Oryzias latipes: one gene and its partner. The protein of the gene in region 1 interacts with the protein of each later gene in a biochemical or structural test. Links are inferred from orthologs where the notes say so. Each region holds a gene or a part of one and is shown on either strand. Other genes may lie near its edges.

What was found.
Region 2: the proteins of mpdz (region 1) and htr2a form a complex in vitro, tested with the Homo sapiens proteins (2 studies listed by IntAct, with this or other methods). The link is inferred for Oryzias latipes from reciprocal best matches to the Homo sapiens genes MPDZ and HTR2A.

What each region holds. Positions count from the first base shown.
Region 1 is NC_019876.2:9,368,251-9,372,011, reverse strand, and holds part of mpdz (multiple PDZ domain protein), read right to left. Parts: intron 2,818-3,761; coding exon 2,803-2,817; intron 1,857-2,802; coding exon 1,709-1,856; intron 495-1,708; coding exon 408-494; intron 330-407; coding exon 233-329; intron 154-232; coding exon 1-153. UniProt on the Homo sapiens protein: Member of the NMDAR signaling complex that may play a role in control of AMPAR potentiation and synaptic plasticity in excitatory synapses. Promotes clustering of HT2RC at the cell surface.
Region 2 is NC_019879.2:13,742,947-13,747,261, reverse strand, and holds the start of htr2a (5-hydroxytryptamine receptor 2A), read right to left. Parts: upstream 2,890-4,315; 5' UTR 1,764-2,889; coding exon 1,316-1,763; intron 1-1,315. UniProt on the Homo sapiens protein: G-protein coupled receptor for 5-hydroxytryptamine (serotonin).

The DNA of each region.
Region 1 (3,761 bases):
GGGTCTGAGCCGCCAGCCCGACGGGGTTCATCATGGCGATGAAGATGGGGATGTCGCCCAGAGGGCTGCCCACGCCGCCCGCGATGCTGATGCCCAGAGAGTCGCTGGGACCTTTGGTCAGCTCCACTGTTCTGACGTCCTGATGCTCTGCAGCTGAAAAGGTTTCCAAAGGATTCTTTACCGCACCGACACAGATGAGGATCATGGTGACGATCCGTTTCTTGGTACTCACCATCCTGAGCTGGGCTTTGCTTTTCAGAGTCACAGAGAAGGTTTCCGGAGTCGGAACTCGACGGACGAGCCACTTTGGAGCTGCCGGATTCACTTATCTGCAAAAGTGTGAGGATTTCGACGCCTTAACAAACCAAAACTGTTATTTTGTACCTGGGAGATTCTCAGCACGGTACCTGACTGCTCTGGGACAGCCGTCTTTCAGAGTGGAACGGGCCCGCTTTAAACCTCCCCACCTCCAGCTTGATGGGTCCGATGCAGCACTGCGACACAAACGCATCGCCGTCATTCTAGCGTTTCAGATCAATCCTCCCGACGCACCGCGGGAGCCGACTCCCGGGCTAAAACCAGTATCCCGACTATAGGATATTCCCGTTCCGCTACTGAAAATTTGAGTATGATCATTTGCGACATCCGAGATCAGATTTGCGATCTTTTTAAATATAGTTGAGTGTAATAAGCGACATTCAGGCACCATAATTATCGCTCTAAAATGCAGAATAATGTCGGATTACCACTACTGTCAACAAAAGTCAATACATCTTCCAAGTAATAATTTATATTGTCATGTGCTTTTATTAATTTTTGTGTTGTTCAGCACTTTGATGAACCTCTGTTTAAAGTGCTTTATAAATAAAGTTGAGTTGAATTTTTGTCTTTCAAAATCTTTGTTTTTGCTTTTTTTATGGTCTGATGATTCTGATCTGTTCTAAATAAAGGTAAAAATTAAGATATTTACTCATCCAGTAAAAACGACATATGTAACCATGTGCTATCCTAGGTACTTTAACATTGGGAGTTGGGTCATCTAGACCCACTAGACAGTGCTCTGAACCTTTTTTCTTCAATGATTTGTGATCTTCACTGGTGTCCATGGATTACATGAAATCTTTCCACCTTTATCCACCTTTGTCATGGTAGGGAGAACACGTCAATGTAAGGGTGGGGTCATCTGGACCCCATAGGATAGCACAAGTGATATAGCTACCATAAGGCCAGCACAATATATCGCAAATTTATCATTATCACAATATCAAGCTGTGCAATACGCATATCGCAAAGTCGGCGAAAATTGCAATAACCTTAAATGTGCTAAAACGATCTTAAGGCAGCTTGGAGTATTTAACGAATCAAATAAATCAATTAATGCATTTGACCAATCTGATGGAACTCTTTGATGTTAGATGTTATGCAGACTCATTTGGGGTATAATTTAATTTAAATGTATTATTTAAATCAAACTGTTGCAGTGAAACGGAAACGATTTTTTTGGTTCTTTTGCTATTTGTATCGCGGGTTATACTGTCATCGCAATATTGATCACTGATATCTCAAATCGCGAGTTTTCCTCACATCGTGCAGTCCTTGCTACCATTGAAACGTAACATATGAAATCGTAAGAATTGTGGTCTGTTCGGTGAATCATTGTGAATGGGATCACCGTCTCAATAAGGATCCATAGCTATGGGAGGCTGACCTTGAGAAGGGCAGCTACCGCCTCCTGAGTGGCCGACCGGACATCTTCGCCGTTTACCGACAGGATTTGGTCGCCCTGCAGCAGGCGGCCGTCGGCGTCGACCAGGCCTCCGCTCACAATGTCTGACACGAAGACTCCCGTGTCGTTCCTGTGGGATAACGGGGAGGAAAACATTCACGAGGACAGCAAGCTACCAGCTTTATCGATGCAGTGCCCGTCTTCAAGTAAGGGATGTTTCCTTTGCAAACCTCACTGGTGACTGCTCGTCTAATTTCTCCCATTTTAGTAGAAGTGTGAGCGGAAGCAGAGGAGCAAAACTACTCACTCCCATGCAGGCCACGGTGCCAGAGATCCTTGGCTGTGACGAGGCCTCACCACTAACTGCTGGGCTGAACTTTCCTTCTGGAGCCTCCATTCCGTTTTTTTTTCTCCCACAAATGCACCACAACCACAAACGTTGAGCAGCTATCATTGGATTTAACCTCTACACCCGACTTGAACCTCCGAGTTGAAACATTTTGTAAACATCTGAGGCACCCGCTCCCTTTGAATGTTCCATTTTAAATACACGTGTGGAGGAACGCACCGCCGCCATTGTTTACTTTCGGTAGGCACAGCTGAAATTACAGGGCAACAGCTGGAGCGCAGCGGGAAAATAGCGTTTGAAGCAGGTAGACGACAATAGAAGCGTGACTTCATCTGATGACATCTCCAACCCAACAGCTTCTGCAGACCCCCCCTGTAATCCAAACAATTGGAACCACCCACAGGGTGAAACACTGAGGTCGATGACGCAATCCGACCCCTTAACCCTTGAGTGTTGAGCAGCAGAGAGGCATAGTTTTAGAAACTTTGTTGGGTTTGATCCCGCAACCTCCCACTCTAAGAGCGGACGCTCTACCAAAAGGCCACAATTCAGGTTCTAAGGAACCAAAAAAAGTGCAAATGTTCTGGATTTATGGACAAACAGTCACAGTGAGGGTTCTATGAAAAAGGAAGTACACACTACTCTCTTACACTATCTAATACACACTTTTTATACATTTATTAATAAAGTAAATATTGTTTTTAAAAAGTGTTTACATATGTTTTACCTGTGTTTCCGAGATCTGCATTTGGAAATTTGGATTAAAAAAGGAAAAACAGTTAAACTTTTGAAAAAACTGGTAGATATGTGTTTTGTTTTGTTTTTTATCTGGCAAGTATCAAGCATGACTGACTTTGGTTTGTTCCATTTGGTTTTGGATTGTTTAGTCTATTGAATTGTAGTACTTTTCAATAGTTTTTTACATTTTCATTAGTCTGTGTCATAGCCTGGTTGATTTGATTTATTGATTTATTTCAAGTATTTTAGTCAAAGCAATAAAGAATTTACACATATTTATCAAACTCATTACCGAAATTATGAAATGCATAGATTAAAAAGACAGAAAAAAACACAAAAAAAAACCGTCCTTAAATCACTTTTGCTTAATTAAATACAGTGATCATTTACTAAAGTATAAGTAAAGTTTGATTTAAGGTTCACTAACATAAAGTTTACGTAACTTTACGAAAAGTTAGTAACATAAAGTTTACTGAACTTTACTTAACGTTAGTAGCATAAAGTTAATGTAATATTACGTAAAGTTAGTAATATAAAGTTTACTTAACTTTTCATAAAGTTAGTAATATAAAGTTTACGTAACTTTATGTAAAGTTAGTAACGTGACGAACAAAAGGTTTACTAATGTAAAATGTTGCATAACGCTGCAAAGTCGCTATTCTCGGTGACAGAATTTGCCTATTTATGTTAATTGTGTAAAAGGTGAAAGAGCTAAGGTTAGTTAGTACGGCGGTCGAAAGACTGTCAACACTGTAGCTAACATTTCAGTGTCACAGAGTTAACCTGGTGACCAACATCTGATAACTGTGAACTGGCTGTAAATTCAAAAGATTGTGGTCAATAAGCAGGTCAGAAAACTAGATGGGTTCTTTATTCCATACAGTAACTTAGCCATCCATCTTCCTCCGCTTACAGTAACTTAGCATTGGGGTTGTCTCTAACGCTAAC
Region 2 (4,315 bases), on another chromosome or scaffold:
GTATTCACATCTCCATAGGTAACCAGCTTACAGTTGGTTTACTTAAATAATTTTTTTTTCCAAAGTTCATTCGCTTGAGAATGGCTGCTGAGTTCAAACGGTAATTGGATTAATACTGTGAAGCAACGTTCACACAACCCCCTCAGCAATGCAAAATCAAACGACCACTTCCAATGATAAGTCTATGTAAGCACGCGTTTCGGGTTTCCGCATTCAAAACTCCTGCGTTGAGTTTCTATGACCTTCATTTGGCTGTACATACAAAAACACACACCCATTGAACGCACACACAAGTTAAACCAGGTTGAACTTTGACCAATAAGGGACTCGGATTTGGTAGCGACGTATGGATGGCGTCCTTTTCATTCACCAAAATGCCAATCCACTGAAAATTGATCTGAATCTGATGGAGGAGAAATTAATAATTGCAGTTTGTGCGGTTTAAGCGCACTCTGAAACATGCATCACATGTCCGGTGTATATGTAGCAAAACACCGGAGCTGTCACTGGCAACACCTGCGTAGCACACGCTCTTTGATAAACTGTAAATGTTTAACTGTGTACGCCAGTGGTTCTCAAACTGTGGGGCGCAGGGGAATCTCAGGGGGGGCGCGAATCACCCGGTGGGACATGGCTCGGAGGGGGGGGGGGGGGGGGGGTACTAATGTTTGCACGTCGGAATTGTCTTCGCGGTGGAACATAAACAAACGGGATAAGTGTGTAGGTGTGTATGTGCTGAAACCGATGTGTCTTAGCTTGCGCGGTTCTTTGTTAAAGACTGCTAAGACAATAAGCTATTCTCTTTTTTTAAGTTGTAGCATTGAGAGACTTGTTTTGCACAGCAGCAGGGTTCTATCAGCCTTCCCATTCATCCGTACACAGCACAGGCTTTGCCATGTTATTTTTCCATTGAAGCAGCTCTCCAAATAAACCCATCATTATCAACAACAGCCCTGAACACCTCCAACACTGCTGCTCTCCATCTGTCTTCCACTGCCACCACAAAGCCATGCATGAACTGAGACCTGCCTGTCCAGGCGGAGTTCGCTTCACCGCAGAGCCAAACACTGGATCACTGATCTAAACAGCCATCAGACTCTGACAGAGCTCCAACTCGGAAATGAGAAAGTGTAATATTTCTTGCCTATAACCAGTCACGAACACACAAATCATCCGTAGTGAGGAACGCGTGCAGCCAGGTGCATTTTGTGTAGTCACGAAACAATTCTATAAATGCTGTGAGACTCAACTCCAGTCATCATCACACTAAATGTCAGCTTGATAAAGCTTAATTTGATTGACGCTCTGCTCTTACCGTAGAGAATAGTCACCATGGAAACTGGCATGACCAAGATGCCCAGGAGCATGTCAGCAACTGCGAGTGACATCAGGAAGTAGTTTGTGGCATTTTGCAGCTTCTTCTCCAAGGACACGGCCAGAATCACCAGGATGTTCCCCATGACCGTGACGGCGATCACCACCAGAATCAGCAGCGATGCCCAGTTCTTCTCCTCCGGCAGATGTGAAGGTGCACACTGAGATCCGTAAAGTCCAGCTGCACCGCGCTGAGACCAGTTCCCCAACTGCCTGTCTACTGTGCTGCGTGCCACGTCAACCCCCTTACAATCCAAGCTTGTTGCATTCCCAACTCTGTGGACATTTTCCTCAAGTCCAGGCGGAGGCCAGGGTTTGGACTCCAGAGCTGTGATAGCTCTGATAGTGTGGGAGATCAGCTCTGACATGTTACCTCCACGCAGGTTCATGCTGTCAGATCAGGAGAACTATAGAAAATCACCACTTACTGAGTCAAGAAAGAGCCAGAAACTCACAACTATTCATTTCTTTGCCTTTTCCCATCTTTCAGTTTTGTCCCTTGAATTGTCATTTACGTTCACTTATCCATCCCATCATCTCAGAGGAAATTGGAGCCGTAAATATGTCTTGTCTGTCAGGATCCACATCCTGTATAAACGTGTTCACCACTTTAACAAAATGTCAAAAATCCAAGTGCTGGAATTATCGTGACTCACGTCTTCACAGAAAAGGGGGGAGGCGTCTCTTCTCCGGATCATAGAATCCATTTGAAGTCATCCCTGAAGAGTGGAAGATGTGTTCATGCTAAAAATGCTACATCCGTGCCAAATCTGGGTTATAGAAAATCTGCATGTGTTCCAAGGGTTAAAGCAGTTTTCCAGTTAGTCTGTTTCTCTTCAGACGCATGATCTGGTCCTTATAGAAAACTATATCCTAGAGTGAAACTGGTTTGATGAATGGAAACTCTTGTGGAAACTGGTGCTGGTTTGGATGGTGGATCCACAGATGCGATTGCTCTGTGAGCATGGGTGGGAATCCTGGCTTCCTGGTCTCAGCTCATCCGTGTACCTGCGAGGCAGTCTGCAGCTGACAAGGATGGATGACGAACAGGATGGGTTCTTACAAGTGTGTGTCCATGTGCCTCCAACTTTCCCCTCACACACAGTCACTCCATCCTGCCGTTAAAGTTCTGCCTCCTCTGAAGAATACTTTTCTCTTCACAAGCAAACAGCGTCAGCCCTCACGAGATTTTAAATATTCCATAAATGCCCACCCCCCCTCACCCCTTTACTCACATAAACCTTCAGTGAAAAACATCAGCCGCTCCATGCACGTCTTCCAAAAAGCACCACAGACCACGTTCCTCCCAAACCTTCCTCCTTCCCGCACTGTATTTCCACATAATGTCACTTTCCAAAATGGAAAACTGATTGAGAGGCAGAGGGAAAAACCGGAGTGTCTGTGAGGTCTTCCTGTGGTCTTTCAGGTTTCCAGAGGAGTGCAGTCAAGTAGTTGAGTCGTCATTGTGAGTGACCGGGAGCTGAATGTTTTTGCGCTCTGGCTGCTTCTTTCATGCAGCCTCTCTTCCTCTCTGTGGGGATCTCCAGCTCTCTCTCTCTCTCTCTGTCTTCTCACCCAGGGTCTCTCGCTCCCTTGAACCGTATTGGCTGTCTCCCTCAACCATGTCTTGTTCTCTCTTCCATTGTGCCTGTTTCCTATTTTCTCGTTGAGTTTTTCTGGTTCTGTACATATTTTTGTAGAGTTAATTTTGAGTCAACTAGCCTCATATTAAGATAACGTACATGAACAAACATGTGCCAGTTTAAATTTACCAAAAGGTTTGATTTAAAGAATAAATAAAACTCATTTTAGTCGGCTTTTCAGGATGTAGCTGAAACATGTTCTTTAATTTCAAACAGTTTGTAGGTTTTTTTGTTTGATTTGGATCAGCCTAATACAACCCTTAATATTTCATTTACCAAATTGCGTGAAATTAAACAATAAATTGCTCATCCTCTGTAAATAGGATTTGTAGGTGATTTACAAAAACTGACTGCAACAGCAGCAAAGTGCAGAATTTAAAGAAAAATTCAGCAAGCGCTAAGAGTTTCATGTTAAATCAGTGCAACAGAGAGGAGGGAATGAGCACAAGGAATGGAGAGCTACTGGAACAAATGAAAACGGTTGCACCTCTTGAAGATAGTCTAATCTATCGCACATAGGTTGTGTGTTGTTTTCAGTGACACAAGTTTGAAGGTGAATCACTAAGGCTTATTCCAGTGCACAGCCAGCAGCTGGTCAGCCCGTATCTGTGCTGACCATGATGATAGTCAGTTTACACATGCCAACAGCCCCACAAAAAAACTCAAAAAATCTCCTCAGTTAAGAATGAAAGGCCAGATAGTTTTTGCACCCTCAGATCCACTAATCTCAGAGGAGACAGTCCAGGACTTTTTAATCTTTACTCCAAGAACAATAGACTGTGAAAAAACTGTGGATTTGCAGTCCTACAGAAGAACAGGCAACTATGCAGTTGTAAAGCTGCATGCACTACGAACACGATTTGCGTGACGGGACGGCCAGTTACAATGTTAAATCAGAGGTTCTGCGGCGCGATTTGAGCAGCGGGCATGGCGCGGCGAGAGTTCAATTCAATTCAATTTTATTTGTATAGCCCAAAATCACAACAACAGTCGTCTCGATGGGCTTCGAAGTAAAACATGAAATCAAAAGGATCACGAATACAAAGAGTTCAATAGAAAAATACTAAAATGAACTAACAAACTGACTAAGCTATACTGGCATCCCTGCCCTTAGACCCCCCTTCGCGGTAAGGAAAAACTCCCAAAAAAACCGGATTCCGGAAAAAACGAAGAAACCTCAGGGGTGCCCACATGAAGGAGGGATCCTCCCCCAGGACGGACAGGCGATTTACCAGAAATCTTAGAGAAGAATTAACTTATCTAAATCTACAACTACATATATAAAAGTCCAGCAGACG